Cricetulus griseus: one gene and its partners. The protein of the gene in region 4 interacts with the protein of the main gene of each other region in a biochemical or structural test. Links are inferred from orthologs where the notes say so. Each region holds a gene or a part of one and is shown on either strand. Other genes may lie near its edges.

The links.
Region 1: the proteins of Nfkb1 (region 4) and Notch1 form a complex in vitro, tested with the Homo sapiens proteins (2 studies listed by BioGRID). The link is inferred for Cricetulus griseus from reciprocal best matches to the Homo sapiens genes NFKB1 and NOTCH1.
Region 2: the proteins of Nfkb1 (region 4) and Elf1 form a complex in vitro, tested with the Homo sapiens proteins (2 studies listed by BioGRID). The link is inferred for Cricetulus griseus from reciprocal best matches to the Homo sapiens genes NFKB1 and ELF1.
Region 3: the proteins of Nfkb1 (region 4) and Dpf2 form a complex in vitro, tested with the Homo sapiens proteins (2 studies listed by BioGRID). The link is inferred for Cricetulus griseus from reciprocal best matches to the Homo sapiens genes NFKB1 and DPF2.

Annotation. Positions count from the first base shown.
Region 1 is NC_048599.1:137,857,456-137,860,974, forward strand, and holds part of Notch1 (neurogenic locus notch homolog protein 1), read right to left. Parts: intron 3,498-3,519; coding exon 3,240-3,497; intron 3,156-3,239; coding exon 3,043-3,155; intron 2,208-3,042; coding exon 1,636-2,207; intron 1,432-1,635; coding exon 1,030-1,431; intron 1-1,029. UniProt on the Homo sapiens protein: Functions as a receptor for membrane-bound ligands Jagged-1 (JAG1), Jagged-2 (JAG2) and Delta-1 (DLL1) to regulate cell-fate determination.
Region 2 is NW_023276807.1:233,925,986-233,929,504, reverse strand, and holds part of Elf1 (ETS-related transcription factor Elf-1), read right to left. Parts: intron 2,343-3,519; coding exon 1,893-2,342; intron 1-1,892.
Region 3 is NC_048596.1:53,441,770-53,444,808, reverse strand, and holds part of Dpf2 (zinc finger protein ubi-d4), read right to left. Parts: intron 2,960-3,039; coding exon 2,831-2,959; intron 2,694-2,830; coding exon 2,581-2,693; intron 1,398-2,580; coding exon 1,316-1,397; intron 1-1,315. UniProt on the Homo sapiens protein: Plays an active role in transcriptional regulation by binding modified histones H3 and H4. Is a negative regulator of myeloid differentiation of hematopoietic progenitor cells. Might also have a role in the development and maturation of lymphoid cells.
Region 4 is NW_023276806.1:23,889,191-23,892,709, reverse strand, and holds part of Nfkb1 (nuclear factor NF-kappa-B p105 subunit), read right to left. Parts: intron 2,528-3,519; coding exon 2,386-2,527; intron 407-2,385; coding exon 292-406; intron 1-291.

The DNA of each region.
Region 1 (3,519 bases), on a different chromosome or scaffold from region 4:
CTGACAACAACAGCCCAGCAACTGGACAAGTCTCCCTGCAGCCTCAGTGTTTAGCACTCAGCAGGGGTTCTTCCTACTGCCCAACATGTTTTTCAGCCTTGCCCCTTAGGTACCACAGCACCCCTTTCTTCACCTCAGAGAAGAGAATGTCCTCAGGCACTCAGTGCACTCTTGAGAGCAGTAACCTGGTGCCCCACAGAAGTGCAGGGACGGGTTGTGGGTTATTCCTCAGAACTCCCCTAGGAGTGGCCGGAGACAACAGCAGGCTCAGATGCTAGAGAGCTGAGACTCTCATGGCAGCCGAGTCACCCACTCTCAGTCATGGCCTCTCAGACACAGGATTCTAATACAGCTTCCAGGGAACAACACATTTCTAACTTTTACTGCGGTTCCATACCAAGGAAACCAGGACTAGAAACTGCTGGGGTCAAGAGACACCAAGGAGCCACCAGGCAGATGCCCAGCATCTCAAAGAGGAATAGGTGGCAGGCTCCTGGAACCCACAAATTCAGGGTATGGGGGTGACCAGTATTGCAAGGACCACATCAGTCCTGGCTGGTGCTTCTCTGCCTGTTCCCAGGTGGCTCTGTGCAGCATCCATGAGATGCCCTTATTTGTGCCTCCTCATTGCCACCCTCAGCTCCTCAGCCTTCAAGGCTCAGCAACAGTGCCTTTCTGCATTTCCCCACCCGCCTCCTCTGCAGTGTGGATAAGGAGGCTATAGAGACTGAGGTGCCGGCTTGGTCTAGGATGATTTAGCTCCAGGGACCACCCTGGAGGCTTTAACCAGCTTGGTCCTGATTAAACACCTAATACATAGTGGAGCCTCAAAACCACAAGCTGGGCAAAGAGTGAACCCTGCCAGGTACCTAGAGAGAGGTGGCCTCCACATTCCAGGTCCTTTTTGACCATAAAGTAGGGTGAATAATACCTCCCCAGAGTTCACCTCCAGGGTTGAGCTGGTAACAGGGCCCAGGAATGCACTAGGAAACAGCCCACAGAAGCTGGATCTGGATGGAGCTCACTCACCCTCTGATGTCCATGGGGTCCAGCTCCCTGCGCTGGCGCCCCCCATTGGTGCTGGGAAGCAGTGAAGAGGTGGTCCAACCCACTGCAGAGCGCTTGATGGGGTGCTTGCGCAGCTCTTCCTCATGGCCGTAGTAGGGGAAGATCATCTGCTGGCCTTCTGCATCACGCTTGAAGACCACATTGGTGTGCAGCACGTGGCTGAGCTCCCGCAGGAAGTGGAAGGAGTTGTTGCGTAGCTGCTCAGGTGGGAGCAGCACCACCAGCACCAACGTGCCAGCTGCCAGTCGCTCAGGCACATGGTCTGCACAGTCTAGCCCATCCCAATCGCACTCGGCACTGTTGCAGCCCTGGTCACAATGGCCGTCACTGAAGTGGTCCTTGCAATACTGGTCATACAGAGGGCTGAGGGGTACAGGACACACTCAGTCACATCCCAGCCTTGTGGGCCTCACACCCACCCTGACTGGCCCAGACCTAGGAAATGTGCTTGGTGTCCCCTATGGGGAGGGATAGACATTGGCCTCATGTTCCTGGTATTTGTTTGGTTCTTCCCCCCGCAGCTGTCTGCTGAGCCCTGGGACTCTGAAGCCACCGAGCCTTACTTACTTGCACTGTCCCTCGGTGCGCTGGCAGTCGAAGCCATCAAAAAGGCAGCTGGCTGAGTTGCACTGGCTGTCACAGTGGCCATCACTAAAATACTTCCAGCACTGTAAGGACTGCGTGCAGTTCTTCCAAGGGTCATTGAAGTTGAGGGAGCAGTCACCACCATCCCAGCCACATGCGTGATTATTGCACTGCAGGTTGCAGACCTTGTTGCCTGCATCTTCCTGGCACTCAGGCAGCTCGCAGGCCTCCTCAATCTGTGGCGGGGGAATGTCGCGCCCAGCACCACCTGTGAAGCTGTAGTCCAGGATGTGGCACAGCAGCCCGTTGAATTTGGCAGGGCACAGACAGCGGTAGAAAGGGCTCTCGGATGTGGGCTCACAGGTGCCCTGATTGTAGCAAGGGTTACTACCCACACAGGGGCTGCTGGCTGGGAACTGGCACTCAGGGCCAGTAAAGGAGCCCAAGCATAGGCAGGTGGGACTTCGTGGGCCTGAGATACATGTGCCACCATTGAGGCAGCGCAAGCTGCCACAAGTGCGGGCATCATTCTCACACGTGGCACCTTCAAAGCCCTGTGGTGGTGGAGAGAGGATGGTGCATTAGAGCAAGGTGCTAGAGTTCAGGAACACCATGCACCCCATCCTAGGCCTGGCCACATCTCATGACCTATGAAAGGTGTCTATGGCCTTTCCGAAGTAATAAGACCCTTTAACATCCTCACCATAGAAAGGTCAGGATTACCACAGGCTTTGAAATGGAGGGATAGCTAAGAGGGCAGAATCCTAGATTTTAGAACCATGAAAAACCAGGCTGACACTGGTACATTATATGTGTATGAATTTCTGAGTGTTAACACCAGAGCAAATACTGTACCTCAGTGCCAGCTATAAGTGTGATCCTCAACACCTTCCATGCAAGGTGGTAACCATAGGAAATGGCAGGCAGGGTGGGGACTTGGCCCTCCTGATAAGTTCTCATGCAAACCTAAAACTGCCTCAAGATGAACATTTATTTAAAAACAAGAGGCTGGGCTGGGACTCAGGGGCAGAACATTTGCCCAGCATGTGTGAGGACCTAGGTTTCCAATACAACATAGCAGGAAATAAACTTTTTTTAAACACGGACTTGCCCTGTAGCCTAACGTAGCCTTAAATGCAGGACAATCTTTTAGCCTCAGCCCCCAGAGTACTAGAATTACAGGTATGTATGTATTATGCCCACTCAAATTTTAAGAATGAACTGGGAGAGTGGGCATGAGGAAGCATGGGGCTTGATCCCTAGCCTTGGCTAGAAGCCTTCAGGCTAATCTACCCTGGGCGTGGGACATGTCCACCCAATGTAAAATTCAGGGGTTCTGGCACCCTTAGACCTGGACCTTAGCAGCTGCACAGGGCCAGGGGCACCTACCGCAGGGCACCTGCAGATGAATCCGCGGGCAGTGTTGGAAGCCACAGCACAGACACCCCCATTCTTGCATGGTTTGCCCCTGCAGCCGTTGATGACTGACTCGCAGCGGCGTCCTGGATGAGAAGACAGTAAGGAGCTAGCCCTGCCACCACTGCCTGTCCACCCAAGGCGCCTGCCCACCTGCCCAAGGCACGCACCAGTGTGGCCAGCCCGGCACTCGCAGTGGAAGTCATTAACACGCTGCACGCAGTCTTGGGTGCCTCGTGGGTCACAGGGGTTGGAGAGACACTCATTGATGTCACCCTCACAACGTTCTCCGACGAAGCCTGGTGGGCAGGTGCAGCTATAGCCACCCACCTGGTCCACACAGGTGCCATTGTTGAAGCACTTGGGGCTTCGGGAGGCAGGGTCAAGGTGGGGATGGCAGTCATCAACGTTGATCTCACAGTGTACACCTGCAGAATGACCATGGACACT
Region 2 (3,519 bases), on a different chromosome or scaffold from region 4:
AGCTGCACATATACTCCACTTAAAAGAATGAAATGATTTGTCCCTTTCTTGGCAACGCTTGGTAACTCCTGTTTTGTGGGCTCAGAATATTCCAGACATGAGCAGCAGGATCACCAATCTGATCCGAACTCATTTTGGGCTCATCTGCAGTAAGGCCAACTATCCTCCCAGTCAACTTTTGGGAGGAAATACCTAGCTACCTTCTTATGTCTATGCATAAGGGACACTCATATGATTAAAATAAAATGTAAATAAGCAAAGGCTTATACAATCTAAGACCCTTAGAAAGCAACACTTTGCCAGGAATCTACTTTGTTATTCATTGAACTATCATGAAATCCAAATCAAATTAAAACTTTAAAATGTATGAGTACATATGTTATAAATTGATTTAAAGGAAGACCTCAGATACTGATGATAATTTCTGTGATTTGCATAAACCCTTTCCTCCCCAACTTGCTTTTTGGCTATGGTGTTCCTTCACAGCTCTAGAACCCCTAACTAAGACAAACTACAAGAACTATAAATATCCATTTAATTTTGGACCATTATTTCCTGACTTATTCTAAAATCAAATGAGAACAGTCCTACATTTTTCAGAAGACCAATCTAGAGGTAGGATTTTCTTGGTCAATTAGATGTTCAGCACCTTTTCAAGTCTGATTTGATTAAAGTAGACTGGGAGAATTTTCAACTTCTAGCACACTAACGCCTGAGGAGGAGAAACTGACTCCCACCTTCATACTTGAGATAGGGAAGTATTCTAAAACAGGATTTTCTCATGTGATAATTTATTCTTGTAGTCAATGCATCCTAAATATCTCAGGTTTAACTATTTATGCTGGGTTTTTGTAGACTGTGATCTAACTAGGCTACACAAATCAGTAGAGTAACAGCAAACAGCACTTGGGAGAGACAGAATCAGATGATAAAAAGGTTCAATAGCAACAGTTTGAGGCTATCCTGGGCTACATGAGATTCATCTCAAAAACAAACATGGTCTAGAAAGATGACTGAGTGGTTAGGAGCAGGTACTGCTCTTGCAGAGTGATGAGGCAAGTCCTTCTGTGTATGTTTATCTTATTGGTTGTTGAATAAAGCACTACTCGGCCAATGAGCCAGAAAGATAGGTGGGACTGGGAGTCAAGGAGGATTCTGGGAAATGTAGTAGAAAGAAGTCTTGTGATACAGGCAGGAAGTGACATAGCAGGCAGACTCATATATAAGCAGGGACAAGCAGGAAGTCGTTCTCTTGCTCTTCCATTTCCTCCCGTTCTCTCCTCTACAGAGCTGCCATGTGATTCCAGGAAGAGGATGACAGCAGAAGGCATCCTCGATAAGTCTTATAAAATATATAGATTTATGATAATGAAGACTGACCTAGCATATATGAAATCCTAGTCAATTGGCCAGCAGCATTGTAAACTAATATAAGACCCTGTATGTTATTCTAGGCGCCCACGTGGTGGTGGGGCTCAGGTGGATGGAGACTTATCATTGGAGCCCTAATGCGGTGGGCAGAACTCAGGTGGCTTGGCAGAAAGATTTATCGTTACAGCAGAGGACAGGAATTCAATTCCCAACACCCACATTGAGCAACTTACAACTGTATATATCTCCAGCTTGAAGGAACCAAATATCTCAGGCCTTCACAGGCATCTACAGTCAGGTACACAAAAGCCCCCCCCCCCCCCCCGCCCATATATATATATATATATATATATATATATATATATATATAATAAAAATAAACAAAAGCAGAACTACTGATATAATTTTGCTCCTGGAACAATCTATTGACCAAGAACTCTACCTTCTGAATCCTGAGCCAGTTAAACAATGCCCCTGCTCAGAATATCACATAGTGATATGCATGGTCACTGTTTCCTTACCTAATACTCTGAACTGAAGAATTTGCTGTTTCTTCCTGCATGGTGCTGGTTATGGTTGTGTCTCCTTCTGAGACAGCTTGTACTGGCTGTACTACATGAACAGTCTGGAAGAGCTGGGTAGGATAGGGGGCCTGTGAGGGTTGCACTGTCCTCAAAACTTCTGATGCCTGTGTGGCTTCCACAGGATCTTTGGGTTTTGGAGCTTTAGAATTCCCTGGTTTCAGAACTGCAGTGGCCCCTCCTTTTATTCCTGGACTTGAAGATACTCTTGATCGGTTTGCTTGATTCCGACTTGATGTGGTTGTTGAAGATAAGGATGGATCCGAAGACTCTATGCTGGAACTTGGATCCTCATCGTCTATGTATATAAGATCTTTTGGCATTTCTTTAAACTGATACACCAAGCGCTGACCTTCCACTTTTGCAAGAATACCTCTTTGGTAATAGTACCTAGTCAAAGCAGACAATTTCATCAATTTTATTAAATAAAATATAAATTAAAATATTGTCAACAAAATCAAATTTTCCTAATCATAAAATTTTAAGTTTAAAAGTGAAGAACCTTATTGTTCCTAGGATTTTATTATTATTTTGTTTTGGTTTTGTTTTTTTTAAGATAGGGTCTCTTTACTGCACTGGCAGTCCTGGAACTCACTACATAGACTAGGCTGGCTATGAACTCACAGAGATCTGCCTGCATCTTGCCTCCCTTAAAGATGTGCCTCAACACACCAGGCAGAATATGGAGAAATTTGTAAAGGAAGGGCACTTATACAAAATATATAAAGACTAATACACAGATTAAATCCTTATGAGTGACTAAGATGACTTAGTAAAGTGCCTGTTTGTATAAGATCCTGAACTCAATCCTCAGCACCCATGCAAGGGCTGGGCCCAGTGACACGTCGGTAGCCCAGTGCTGCAAAGGGAGCGAGACAAGGCAGATCTTTCGAGTTCACTAACCAACCAGACTAGCTTAATCAAAGAGCTCCAGGTTCAGTGGAACCATAATACAACATGAAGAGTAATCAAGGAAGACACCCAATCCTCTGACCTCCACCACAAGCACCCACTCATATACCTACCCAAACACATATACACACACATACACGTCCTTATTAGCTAGATGAATGCTGAATAGGGAACTACAGGGAATAGGGAATGACTGGAGCTTCGCTTCTCTTCCTTCCAGTTCCATGCTGCTAATTTGCTGGAATAATCAAATTTACCACAAACCTCAAGGCATCGTCTTCCCCCTCCCTACCTTACTAGCAGTATTCATACAAGTTTAAATTTAACTCAATTGGGCAGAATTTAGTGATTCACGTGTCTTAATAAAATTAAGAGCCTAAGTGATTCTTGTAAATGCACACCATAGACGCCTTTCTCCTCTCTGTGTTCACATGTTGGTCATTAAAACTCTTCCTTGGGGCTGGAGAGATGGCTCAGTAGTTAAGAGCACTATTGTTCTTGAAGAGAACCCAGCACCCACATAATATCTATAACTTCAATTTCAAGGGATCCAATGCCTTCTGACCTCTGTGGACATCTGGCACACATAATGCACTGGCATGTTTGCAAGCAAAATATTCATATAATAAAGTTAATATTTTTTAAAAACTTAGTT
Region 3 (3,039 bases), on a different chromosome or scaffold from region 4:
GCAATTGTTAAAGTACTCACCAGTTTTGCTAGTGGCCTCATTTTCTGCAGTCTGACCTACATTACCAGTCAGCTTCTGGAAACAGTAAACTACTCCCACTTGAAGGCTGGCTCCTGTCTGTGCACAGCAGAGCTACTAGGTACTTAGGCCCTCCTGGACAAGCTTTGAGTCTCTTGCAGTGGTTCACAACCTTCCTAATGCTGAGACCCTTTAATACAGCTCCTCATGTTGTAGTGATCCCCCAAACATAAAATTCCATTGCTACTTCATAACTGTTAATTTTGCTACTATTATGAATTGTAACATAAATATCTGTTGTCTTTTCTTTTTTTCCGAGACAGGTTTCTCTGTGATTTGGAGGCTGTCCTGGAACTAGCTCTTGTAGACCAGGCTGGTCTCAAACTCACAGAGATCCACCTGCCTCTGCCTCCCGAGTACTGGAATTAAAGGCGTGTGCCATCATCGCTTGGCGAACTGTAACATAAATATCCGATATGCAGGATATCCAATATGTGATCCCTATGGGGATTGAGACCCACAGGCTGAGAACTACTACCTTAGAGGAAGGAGCTAGGCACAGAAACACAGTTGGAAGGGACTTGTGGAAAAGAACCACTCCTTGATGTCACCATTGGTGTTGGTGTAGCACTTCCATGAACTTGGAGCATTACTAAGTGAACCACAAGAGATGCAAAAAAATACCCCAAGCTCCAGGGTCAACTCCCTCCCGAATGGGGAAGAGAGGAAAGAAACAATCCATCAGAGTAGGAGAGCGACAAAAGAAATATCATGTTAGATAAGCTCCAACTGAATTTCTGGACTATACAAAGGAAGACAGCTTGCAAACATTAAGTTCTTTAAATTAAAATTCTGGGGGCTGGAGAGATGGCTCAGCGGTTAAGAGCACTGACTGCTCTTCCAGAGGTCCTGAGTTCAATTCCCAGCAACCACATGGTGGCTCACAACCATCCATTATAAGATCTGGTGCCTTCTTCTGGTGTGCAGATGTACATGGAAGCAGAATGTTGTATACATAATAAAGTCTTTAAAGAAAAAAAAATTCTGGGCCAGGCAGTGGTGATGCATGCCTTTGATCCCAGCACTTGGGAGGCAGATACAGGCGGATCTCTGTGAGTTCAAGGTCAACCTGGTCTACAAAGTGAGTTTCAGGGCAGTCAGGGCTGTTATACAGAGAAACCCTGTCTTAAGAAATCAAAAAATGCTGAAACCACACAATTAAGACCTATAACAAGTCATGTTTTACTTGGGTGTTATGGATCCTTCTGGGATAAAGTATTTTGGGTGGGCCACTTACCTTCAGGAGGCTCCGACATGGATGGGGTGAGACAGTACATGTGGTAGCCACGGTCACAGTCATCACAGAAGAGCAGCTGGTCCTGCAGAAGGTAAGGAGAAAGAAAGAACAAGGATCCAAAGGCTTATGTACCCAAGTTGTGACACTGCTGCTACTTTTATGAGGGACTAGTAGCTGCTAAGAAGAGATGTAGAGGGGCTGGAAAGATGGCACAGCAGTGAAGAACACTGACTGTTCTTCCAGAGGCCCTGGGTTTAATTCCCAGCACCCACATGGCAGCTCACAACTGTCTGTAACTCCAGTTCCATGAGACCTGATACCCTTACACAGACATACATGCAGGCAAAACAACAATGCACATGAAGTTAAGTAATTAAAATAAAGAAGTAAGACCTGCCCATCTCAACCTATCCAGATTCTAACTGATCACAAAGCCTACTATTTCCCTACAATCTCTTCTCTACAAAGCTGCCAGTTACCTTCTGAAAATATGAGACAGAACATATCACACAACAACCACCCCCAAATAAATGGCCTCTGTCAACATCCCCAAGGTCCAAGCACAGGGGTGGAGCTTAGCAGCAAAGCTCATGCCTAGTGTTCACCAGGTCCTGGGGTCAATCTCCAGGATTCCTCACTGCTCACAAAAGGACTCAAGACCCATAGATCAAACAACATCCACCTCTCCGATTCACCTTCCCCCACATGAAAGATCTAGTGGGTAGCAATGGCCTTGTTACAGCGGGCTTGCCAATCTCAAGGTCTCTGCACTGGCTATACCTCTTTGGAAATACACTCATTTTGTACCTTTTTGGACTGGCTCTTTGTGTTATCAAAACTCCAACACCAACTTCATTTCCTCCAAAAGCAAATCTAACTAGAAACCTCTATCAGTATCAAGTTAACTCTTTTTTTTTGTTTGTTTTTTGAGACAGGGTCTCACTGTGTAGCTTTGGAGCCTGTCTTGGAACTTGCTTTGTAGACCAGTTAACTCTTTGGCTCATCAAGGTATATCATACAAAACTCTGTTACCCAAGTACACAAATTTGATGAAAGCATGGTCTTCTCTGTCTTACTTAGTGACCTGAGAGCCAAAAACACCGACTGCTGGTGCTCAAGAAACAGATTTTTTTAAACAAGTGTAAAGTTCCCCAGGGGAGGCTAAGGAGGGGCGTGGAAGGAGGGAGGCCCTTGCTTGTGCTGACAGAAAGCTTGCTTTGGGGGAGCTGAGGGGAGAGCCAGGCAGGCTGAGAGGGCGCACGCACGTCATTCTCCGAAGTGCCGCAGAGGTTGCAGCACTTGCACTCGATGCACTGCCAGCGGTAGGTCTTCACAGCCGCCATCATCACGGGGGTGAACTGCAGGCAGGACGGGTGCCCTGTGGGGGAGGCGAGTCAAACGGGGGCTGGAAACCCGTGGGGAATGGGGATGGGAGGCTGCCTGACAGCACTGAAGTAACCAGGCCAAGAGTGTCCTGGGCACTGAGTGCAGCCTGCTCTTTGAGAATGGAAGTACCTGAGCGGCCACAGTCAGAACAGGACACTAGCTCCTCAGGCTGCCCTGTCTTCTTGTTGATTTTTGAGTCTCCCAGGCAGAAGTCACAGTAGTTGTTGGGCAGGGCTAATCCATCAGGTCCTTTCTTGGCTACAGGAAAAAAAGAAAGGAATTTTGATGATGCCCCACATTCCCTACAAGGAGGACTTTTATTTTAAGTATTTTTTTAA
Region 4 (3,519 bases):
CACAGCTGTGACCCTTTTTTCTAGGTTCGCCTTCCAAGCTGTATCAGCTCTGAGTTTTAGAGCTTAGAGTTGCCTTTCCCAGAGGGCGCTGGATTTCAGTGTGGGGTTATTGCTATCAAACCCATTTCTAAATGTCATTTAGAAAATGGCATTCCCAACTAAGGACACTTTAAAGATATCACCTATAAAAAGGTTTTCTTTTTTTCCTGTTATCATTACTAAAAACAGCATAAACACGTATTACAAAATGATGCCTTTTTCCTCAGTGACTGCCTTGAGATTTCTGCCTACCTGATACAGATCATTCCTCATGTTGATGATGTCATCACAGATCAGACCAGATGTGACTTCTAGCAGATCCCTCACAAGCTGAGCATGAAGGTGGATGATGGCTAAGTGTAAGACACTGGAATGAAATACCGTGACAGTAGTTAACTAGGGGTTAACAAAGGAGAGGAACCAAAGTTTTCAAGGAATGATTGGAAATGAAGACCGAATCCAGCTGTTATTCATGGATTTCTTTGGCCTCACTATGTTTTAGATCTGCAAAATGTACTTATCTGAGGTGACATGCTTTCTCTCCCACTGCCTATCCCAGGCTATGACACTCACTGATGGAGCCTACCTGACTCTGGCAGTGTTCTTGTCTGACTCAACACATCCAGTGCAAAGGCGCCCACCCTGGCTGGAGACCAAACGGTCCTCCTTCAGGCCAGGTAGTTCTCCCCTAAATCTCCCTCATGGACAGACACTGAGCAAAAGTAAAGTCCAGTTAAGAACAGCTCAGAACAACTTAAGTTGCCCAGCTCTCTTCCTCTGAAACAATGTGAAGTGGTTTTTATCTTTAAACAAGGTCTTGTCATTTAGCCCTGAAATCATTCTTTCAGAAATACTCAGGGAAGATCATGATTTGCTTTTTAGACGCACCCCCATGCCAATATTAAGGCCAAGGAAACCATATACACTTTGATGAGAAACAATCCAGCCTACACCCCAGGGCTTCCCTGTTGCTCTGGGTGGAATGCTGGCAGAAGGCGTTTAAGAAGTGATGTAGGCGTGACGTTCACACATTGAGTAAAGGGCATGCTTCAGAAGATGCCTAAACATTTCCCTGCGCAGCTCAGCATCTCACAGAAGTGCACCCCCTCCCCGTCAGCTCCTCACACCCTCCTGGGAATTCCCCCAAAGCTAGAGGATTCTATATTTTTTCTTTATTGTTATTTTCTACGATGACTAATAGTCACGGGGCTCAGATATCAGCCCAATATGACAAGCTGAACGAAGATGAGAGGCCAGAGTGCTCTCTTGTCACACCCACGGCCTCTCAGGGAGCCTGCTTGTATCTGTATCCTGCATGGACAAGGAAGGCCACTGTCTCAGCTGTTCCTCATCAAAGTCATCAATTCAGTGGGCCCTTAAAGATGCCACCTGAAGCCCCTGTGTCCTGCCTTGGTTAGCTGCTCTGTTTCGTGGTTATTTGCTATTGAATGTTAATTGGATGCTTCCCCCAAAGACGCCTTCTGCTAGTCAGGGCTGTACACAGAGAAGGTTGTCTGGGTTCCTCTTGTACTGTAGAACAAGGCCAGTGGTTATACCACATCCTTGGTTATGCCACAAGCAACGAGGACAAAGGTCTCTGTATGAAAGCCCTGAGGTTGGCACGCTCCTAATGCATTTAGTTTTTAAACTGAGACTTCACACAGCAGTCCGGGATGTTTCCACAGAAAGGGACTTCCAGGGTTGATGCTATTTTAGGATCTTCAGATAAAGCACTTGAACCTCAAGACTGCTGTCGCTGGCTATTTTTATAGGCCTCTAGATCAGTTCAGAAGTCTCAATGAAAGGACTAAGAACTGCTGAGAAGGGAGCCAAGTGGCTTTGCAAACAGAACCTCAGGAATGGACAGGAGGCGTGGTGTCTGGAATGTCAGACTCCCACGCAGCCTGGCCTGGAGCTGAGGCAGAGTCCAATCCACTCACAAACTAGTGAATATTAACAGAGGCCTCAGAGGAGGAGCCAGTAACTAGGAAGGAAGGAGTGGCATTTCCTCTTATTTACTGGACTGATAGACATTGTTGTCTTTACCAGGACCTTCCTTGGGTACACTAGATAATGCTTCAGGGACTTGGCAGGGCTGCCAATCATTCTCTCAATTATTTTAATAACTAAAGGAAGGGTTTCAAAATCAACACACTATCCACACATCTGAGTCTTCTTGCCTGGAGAGACACCATACTTTAGGGCTTGTCAGATGAGAGCAGAACTGGAGAAGCAGACTGTTTCGACTCCAGCTCCTGGGAGCATCCCCTTCTAGCCAGTGTGCCCACGTCTCTCCTCTCCCTACCCACACAGTGCCTGCTCTTCAGCAGCCCTGACTTCACTCACCTGTCCCCATTCTCATCCTGCACCGCGGTGAGATGGCGCTGCACAGCCAGCAACATCTTCACGTCTCCTGTCATCGCATAGTCGAAAAGGGCATTGGCATGCCTCTTGGCAAGCTGTAGAGCCTTCTCAAGAAAGAGGTTATCTGCAAGGCAATGTCCACAACCACAGCTGAGTCTCACTCGCTCGCCCTACACGCATGGCATGGCACACCATTTTAGTTGAAAATGCTCCTTTTGGTGCTTCTGGATTGGGGCGACTAGAAAAAGCACAATTGGGCATTGTCTCACTGACAGATAATAGAGTCAAGAGATTGATTTCCAAGTGTCTGTGGGCCGTGAGGAACCATTTAGAAACACCTGCTATTTTAAGGAAAATACTCAGTGCCTACGGCTTAGGGAAGTAATCAATCTCAGGGGAACTGGATTTTGCCATGACTTTAAATAATCAACTATTTTATAAGCTAATTCTCTTCTGAATCCAGTCTGAGTCAACGTGAAGAAAAATGCCCTCTGGCCCCAGACATAACCTTGGAAAGCCACTGGTGTCTTTGAAAAATTCATTCTCCTAAGGTCAAGGGATAGCAAACTATGACCTCAACACAGAGGGTACATCTAACTTGCTTTGATATGGTCCCATGGACAGACATTGTGCATCTCAAAGAAGGTATTTAAAGAAGCAGAGGAAGGAAAATACGGAATAGTAACTGTATGTGGCCACCATGTCTAAATAGTTACTCTCTCTTTCTGGATGATGTCTGGCCTGGAGTTATGACACATACTCCAATGAGGCCTGTTCAAAGGAACCATTTCCTTTAAATTCTGCTTCTTCAAGGAGGGCAGGAGAACAAAAAGAACAGCCTCATTTTGGGGCAGACTTCTTCAATATGGCAGCTGAGCTGGCTGCTGGGAAGGGTGGAAGAAGGATGTGGATATGCTTCTGTATAACCGGGGACAAAGTGTTGCCTCATCTAATGTCCAGAACTGCATGGGCCTGGGCAATGTACACACAAGTTTCTGCATGAAGACGCTACGTGGGAGGTACAGGGCACCTTGCAGAGCACTCAGACCAGATGCTGACCCACCCTCTTTAGATTAACAGGAAGGAAACCCATGCTCTGGAGACAGCTTCCTGTAC